2 linked regions of the Canis lupus familiaris genome follow. The protein of the gene in region 1 interacts with the protein of each later gene in a pairwise test. Links are inferred from orthologs where the notes say so. Each region holds a gene or a part of one and is shown on either strand. Other genes may lie near its edges.

What was found.
Region 2: the proteins of CLEC7A (region 1) and BNIP3L interact in binary tests that used the Homo sapiens proteins (3 or more experiments, as listed by UniProt). The two-hybrid records come from large-scale screens. The link is inferred for Canis lupus familiaris from reciprocal best matches to the Homo sapiens genes CLEC7A and BNIP3L.

The regions. Positions count from the first base shown.
Region 1 is NC_049248.1:10,285,355-10,289,551, forward strand, and holds the start of CLEC7A (C-type lectin domain family 7 member A), read right to left. Parts: upstream 2,910-4,197; 5' UTR 2,818-2,909; intron 1-2,817.
Region 2 is NC_049246.1:31,318,479-31,322,129, forward strand, and holds part of BNIP3L (BCL2/adenovirus E1B 19 kDa protein-interacting protein 3-like), read right to left. Parts: intron 3,292-3,651; exon of another isoform or gene 3,145-3,291; intron 2,397-3,144; coding exon 2,213-2,396; intron 1-2,212.

The sequences.
Region 1 (4,197 bases):
ATAATTATGAAATAGAATGAATGAAAAAAAAAAAAGAAATAGAATGAATGATAATAAAGGTCAGAAAACAAATGTACATAGTGAATATTTTTTGTTGATAGTTGGATATAAAATAGAGGTGCCTGAGTGGCTCAGTCGTTAGATGACTTAGTTTCCACTCAGATCATGATCTCATGGTCATGTAATAAAGCCCAGTGTGAGGCTCCACCTTTGCATGGAGTCTGCTTGGGATTCTCTGCCTCTACCCCTCCTCCAGTTTGTGTGCATGCTCTTTCTCTTTCTCAAATAAATTAAATTAAATCTAATCTTCTTTTAAAAAGTTGTATATAAAATAATGTCAAAAGAAATTAAAATGTGTGTATAAATATGTATAGTAAAGTAAAAATAAATATTGTACAAACCACTCTTAAATCAATGGATAAAATCTTATCAATTATGTTAATGCCTTTTTTGAAAGGGAGGGGAATTTATACCTATATATAGGTATGTCACAGTAATAAATAATATTACAATTTCTGTTTGAGCTCCTTAACCTTTTCCAAATTTGTTAATGATATTGTCAAAATTAATCTTTTTTACAAGTTTGTGTTAAGTATTGACTATGTATCCAGACACACCAATTCATCTTTGCTCAAAATTGATTTAAGATAATTTTTTCTTCACTTAATTTTTAAAATTCTTTAACCGAAGCCACAGATATGTAAAGAGAAAAAGACTTATACATAGTATATATGTGGCAAAGATTTACAAAAATCCTATTTCACAGTGATTCCAGAAATTACAATATTGTCCATGTCCTTATTTTCTCAGGATCAATTTTAGTAATTTTCAGATTTCTCTGCAGTTGAAATATTGTATAAGGACAAATAAAAATTGCAAACTGTCACATAGAATGAAGAGAAAGTAGCTCAAATTTTGTCTTTTTGATTTGATAATCACTGTGCAATGCTATCGATATTGATTTCAAATCTACACTTTAAACACAGAAATTACTCATTCTATAATGCAAGCAATGCAAACCAAGTGGTACTGAGTGAATTTCAGTAATTCCAAACCATTCCAAATTGTTCCACAACAACTAGGAGTTCTGTGAATGAACTTCCATGTAGAATACAGTACTTACAAAAGGAAAAAAGACATAAACCTGATAATTTGAAGAACATATAGATATATTGATATACACAGAGATAACTCCATCCTCATTATTCATGGATTCCAGGATTGCAAATTTGCTTAAGTGCTAAAATTTAATCATAATCCCAAATCAATCAGGGCTCTTTCATGATCATTCACAGGCATGCGCAGAACGGTGAAAAGTTGGAGACCCACTGTCAGAAAGGAAGATCTTCTTCCTGCCTAAGGTTCTTCTAGCTGGACTTAGAATCAAACTGACAGGAGATGAACTAACAGGAGGAAATCAAATGTAATAGGTGTACAGAGGGGACAGGAGATTCTAAAGGAGACAACAAGAAGCTGATGTGGGATGGTGAGGGAGACAGGTCCTAGGACACCAAGGGAAGGAAGGGCTTTAGCAGGAAGGGGAAAGGAGATGTTTGGGAAAACAAGGTTGCCTTATTAAGTAGATAAATTCCTTTAGTAAAGGGAGCGTTGGTCTCTATTAATACTCCCCTGCCTGTGGCAGGCTCTCCTTTCCAATGTAAATTTAAACAGCTGTGGGAGAGGCAGAGTTTTTCCTGAGTCTGCTGGGCTTTGATGACTTTTAATTGGGAATAATCTCTATGCCAGAGTGGTCAATCCGAGAGTAACTTACTCTGGCCCCTACAACCTAACATGCCTGATTTCAGAGGAGTTTGAACAAAGTGACACTGCCCTCTTGTTCCAGCTCTCCTAACTGAAGAAGAAATGTCCTTTTCACTGTCTTTGTAGTGCTTTTTGTTTGTGTGTGTGTGTGCTTTGACTTTTTGTTGGTTACTTCACTGCCTAAAATGCCCTCAAACATAGTGCTGAAGTACAGTCTGGTGTTCCTAAGCTCAAGAAGACTGATGTGCCTTACAAAGAAAATATGTGTATTAGGTAAGCTTTATTCAGGCATGAGTTATAGTGCTGTTGGCTGAGATCAATGTTAATGAATCAACATATATTTGCTAATGGGCATTGAAACAGAAACGTATATAAAACAAGGTTATGTAATAATCTGTTGACAGAAATTGTTGTCATCAGACATTACAGAAACCTAACCCTGTAGTTCCCACAGAAGCAATAATTATTTGGTGTTCTCTGACACTTCACAGACTGTAACTACCATGAATAACAAGAATTTATTGTATAGAGAAATGGATAAACAGAGTTCTAAAACTAAATAATAACCATAAAAATTTAAAACTAAACAAAAAAAATCACAAAAGATATTTTCCGGGAATATTTTATCATTGGCATTGTTAAGGATTATGGGTGATAATAAAAAGTAGACTGACTCTTAATAAATTTTGTTATATTTTTAATTTTCTGCAGATAGTTCACTACTCCCCACATCACCTGCTTGGCTATATTTTCCGGCCCTGTGAGGATCTAAATAATCAGATGCCAGACTATCTTTCTAGTTTTATTTCCTAACCATCTCCCTGTCTCTGTTCAGGTCCTTAAACACTGGCCTTCTCTTTTATCACGCAAATACACCAATTTGCTTCTGTCTACACTTTGACTACATGCTTTTCTTTCAGAACTCTGAATGAGAGACTTTTCTGGATAATCAGTTCTCTGTTCAAACATCATTCTCTCTGGGCAGTCTTTCCGGGTTGATTCTAGTCCAGCTACTTCTACCCAGGCAGAAGTAGTGTTGTGCCCAAGATTACGTACCTGAAAAACCACCAAGGAACCGACACCGATGCAAACACACGAGGGTTTATTTACAAGTTCGAGCTTGGGTCCAAGTATACCCGACACAGCAGAGCAGGGACTTGGACCCCGAGATAGGTTCCAGCTTAGTTTTATGGGCTGGTCTAGGGGACCTCCAGAAGGGGTGGAGGAATTTCTCAAGTTCTGTTTACATGCTGATATGGGGCTTTCAAGGGCATTGAGCCCTGTTCTCATTCTAATATGGGGCTTAACTGAAGTTAGGTAAAGTTCAGCTCCTATTCACAGGGGCCTGGGATGGCTGTACTTGTGCTAACACTGAACTTAAGGTGGAATGGCCTTAATTTTCTCGGCCTCCACAGTAGAATACAACTAGGGTGCTTTAAATTATTCTGAATTACATCATAATAGGTTTTTTTGTTTTTTTGTTTTTTTGTTTTTTTTATTTTTTGTTTTTATCTTCAAAGTGATAAAGTTTTGGAATATAGGTGAGGTCCAGAGCCAACGACCAAGAAGAATTCTTGAGACATCTTTGGTGCAAGATGATTTTATTAAAGCACAAGGATTGGACCCATGGACAGGAAGAGCTGCTGCCCCGGGCCTGTGAGGGGTGGCTCATTATATACCTGGGAGTTGGGAGGGGTTTGAGGATAGCATACTCTCTAAGGGATTTTGGAAGCCAGGTTTGCAGGACCTTGAGGGGGCTAGCTATTGATGGGAAAAGGGCACTTACTACTGTCTAATAAAACTTGAGTCATGAGACCCTTCAGATGTATATCAGTGGGCCTTGTGCTTGGGGGATGATTGCCAGCACATATCTTGGGGAGGGGGAAGAGGGGGTTTCAGAGATAAAGGAAATTTCTAAAGGAATTTTTATATGTTAAAAAGTAGACTCACAGGGGCCTAGGGGTCAGGCTAAGATTGCCTTCTGCCCTTAGCAAAGTATGAACATCAAGGCAGTTGAGTCTGTAGAAGAATGTCCCTCTGCTTGTTTCAATGACTTGTCAATATGCTTTGTCCTCAGCTAGTCCTCTGTTCCCTCATCAAAAGCACTTCACACTATTTGAATATCACTCATCTTTATAATTAGACTCCTCCTGTTCACGTTTGTAAGCTCCATGAGTTCAGAATTTTGTTTGTCTTGTTCATTGAAATAGTTCAAAAACTTACACTAGCTTCTTCTTTTTTTCCTTTCACTAGGTTCTGATTCATTGCATGTTACCAATAAATATATTTAGGTCAATGTATAAATTACTTAAAAACTTTTAAAAGTAATAATATATGTGTAAAATGTATATATGCACCTTCACATGTAGCCTAAAATTATCCAAATCTATTGTCCAGCTTGTTTATAAATTCCAAAAATACAAGAATTCTGTCTTT
Region 2 (3,651 bases), on another chromosome or scaffold:
GATAACAGTCAATTTACACATATCTTGTATGCATTCCTACAATAAAGTAGGCTAAAGGAAAAAAATGTAAAAAAAAAACCCTTAAGGGAAAGAAACGACATTTACCATAAAATACTGTGCTTTATGGAAAACAATCCACATGGCTGTGCAGGTCAGACCCATGTCATTCAAGGGTCACTGTATATATAAACTAGCCTTGGGATGAATATCCAACAATCCTAAAAATGTTTCCACCTACAAAAAACATTTCTCAGCGACTTCAGATATGGAGATGCAAGCCCATCCAAATGATATGAATTTTGAAGACATTTTAAAATGTTAAGATGTGTTAGCATAGGAGAGTATTACTGAGTTGGAGTCACAGGCCCTCTCTGAAAAATGACCAGGAACCCAGATCCTAAACATACATAAAGTGAGGGACAGGAAAATGTTCAAAAGCACATGCCACGCCTCGCTTCAGGTGTTTAGAAACCTAACTTAAATGTGGTCACGGGAAGGTAAATTCGTATTTGATCACAAGTATAACTACTAACCAGGAATGAAATGAGACGACCAGAAAAGCAAGCAGGTGACTTTTTCTCTGCTCAATGACAACAGCAAGTGAACAACAGGTTAAGAGACACACTGATACCAATGCTCAAGGGTCTTGTACTTGAATGCATAGTAAGAGCCTCATAAAGAGGCCTAGAACAAGCAGAAAACTTCAGAAACCTATTACAAGTCCCAAAATATAAATGTAATATAATATAAACTTCATTCTGAAAGACAGACGAATGCTGTTGCAACTGGAATCAATGGCAAGCTGTTCAGCAAAGAGCCATCTGCTCTGCTTCTGCTTAGAACAAGAGCCATCCCAGGCTACTAAGAAGCACAGGGACAAAGGCAGGGATGAGATGGGGTGGCGGGGGTGCACAGTGTGCTAGAGCCAGCAAACCAATCCTCTGCTTCCTTGGTAACATCACTGGATTATAAGATATCCAGGAACTTCAGACATGACCGAACTTCTGTTTCTCTTTTTAAATTTATTCTGACAAATAAAATATGCTATATATGCAATTTTTACAAAGTACAAAAATATTCAGAAGAAAAATATCCATAATTCCATCTCTTAGGGATAATCACTTTTATTTTTAGTATACATTTTTAAGTGTTTCCTTAGTCTTTTTCCTTATGCATCTGCATTTTCTACATGACTAATGTCAGTTAACTCTTAATTAACCAGATCATCCTTTATCCCATAGTGCTAACAGTATGGCTGTCATCAGACTAAGTGGTGTCAGGTATACCACCATGTATTTAACACCTATCCCTCAAGAAAAAAACAAAGCTTACACTGAAAAACAAATGAGCAATTCGGTTTTATTCCACTCATACATATCACTGTATCCTTACTCTTTCACCAAAAGCAGCCCTTCATCAATGGAATTACTTTCCCCAAGTCAAAAGTAGAAAAATGAGGTCTGAAAATAAGGTTCCGCTGAAGAAACAGGATGGTCTTCCAAATTAGCTATCTTTACAGACCTTGTGTGGTCTGCATACACCATACAAATACTGCTGTAACTTGAATCAACCACCAGTTCCTACGACTCAAACATGTTACTGAGGGTCTGCTACACACCAGTACCATGACTGTCAAGGGTACACAAGAGATGCAACATGCCTTTTGGAGCCTCATCGTCTGGAAGGGGGGACAGAAACATAAGAGATAACTGACAGAATGTCATCTGTGAAACAGGGTCACAAAGGAAAATTGGAGAAAGTTTGTTAATTCTACAAGTAAACATTTATGCCATTGACTTTTAAACTGATAAACATCAAAAAATGATACAATCTGAATAAGGAAATTGATTTAATCTAGGGAAAAACACCAGGCACTCAAATATTTGCCAATTAGCTATCTGATTTAAATATACATGCTGCAGTAAATCAAGAGTCCTTTTTTTAAAAAAAGATTTTATTTATTTATTCATAAGAGACACAGAGAGAGAGAGGCAGAGACACAGGCAGAGGGAGAAGTAGGCTCCATGCAGGGAGCCCGACGTGGGACTCGATCCTGGGTCTCCAGGATCACGCCCTGGGCGGAAGGCAGACACTCAACCACTGAGCCACCCGGGAGTCCCAGGAGTCCTATTTTGTCAAATGAGAATGAAACCAGATTTATTTTTTTTGGTGAGAATTAACCTTATAACCCATCTGTATGGATCTCACTTACCTGTCACAGTGAGAACTGGCTCTTGAACTACTCTGTCCTGATTCATGCTGTGCATCCAAAAGAATCTTCTCCATGTCTCCATTGTGGATAGAGGATGAGGAAGGTACATGTTCTAGCCCCCCATTTTTCCCATTGCCATTATCATTGCCATTGCTGCTGTTCATGGGTAGCTCCACCCAGGAACCTGTTGGACAAGTCAGATAGCTTAAGTTAACCACAGCAGAACCAAACTCTGTCATGTGCACACAGATGCGAATGTGGTGAATTCTGATAAGAGTTCTGTCTCGCCTCAAAGCAAATCCAAGAGTATTCCGAAGAAAATAAATAAGGAGCAACAGAAGTCTAAAAATACATATAGTTTCTCTTCCTGAAGTGGCTCACGCAATCAACCAATTTAGAAGAAGCTGGAACTCTACAACGAGGATCTTAGAAATGTGCCTTTCAGCCAATTTTCTCTCTAGTTAAAGCTTAGTTTATATCACTGAAAACTTTGAGAGTGCTTTTCAAAAAATAAATGGTTACTTTATTATTACTTATCTTTAATATTTTAAACATATGTTTAAAATAATATATACCTATTTTTCTCACAGTTTACTTCAGCTAGTTAGTTGTATCCTCCCCAGATGAAATAAACCAATGGCTTAGAAACTTTATAAAAAAATATCTAAAGAAGTTAACAATTGTCCTAATTAGCACAATTGACAATCTCCTATAGAACTTAAATTCAATCATAAAATTTTCAATTTGTGTACAAATGTGCAGCACAAAATTAATGCTCTTAATTTTATTTATTTTTTTAAATGCTGTTAATTAAATCCAGGGATAACACCAAAAATTTTGAAAAAAGCTTTCTCTCTATCCCACAAATTAGCTTCTTCCATTCCTTTATACCTCACCTCATTTCTATCCTCTCCCTTATGCACTAGCCATACCTTGTAGATTTGTCCTTTCTTCTCTCCCACGACTTCCTATTTCCTAGGTTTCATTAAGCCTTGTTGGTTTGGGGGGAGAAACTCACATCTGTACAGGAGACAGGTTTTCTCAGGCCAACGGTCAAAGAGGGTGGAGCCACAGAAAAGGGGATGTGGCCCTGGTAATTTGGATAGCTCTTGAAAATATTTCTTATTGGCTCAATGAGTTTGCTGATCACATTAAGGTGCTTTAATTTTAATAAAAATTGATAACAGTAGCCACCAGACCAACTTCACAACAAAGACAGTGGAGGATTTTCTTCATAATTTCCATTCCTTACAACAAATTTTGTTTTAGAAAATATCACCGAGCAGTTTGGGAGGGCCATTCCTCCAAACTCTCAAGAGAAGTGTAGAGTTTTGTGACTGAACAGCCCTCCACCAGTAAATCAGAAAAACCACCCAGAGAGGCTCAAAACCTAAATGCACTCTCAATGAGGTAAAGACTATTCTAGATCCAAAGTGAAC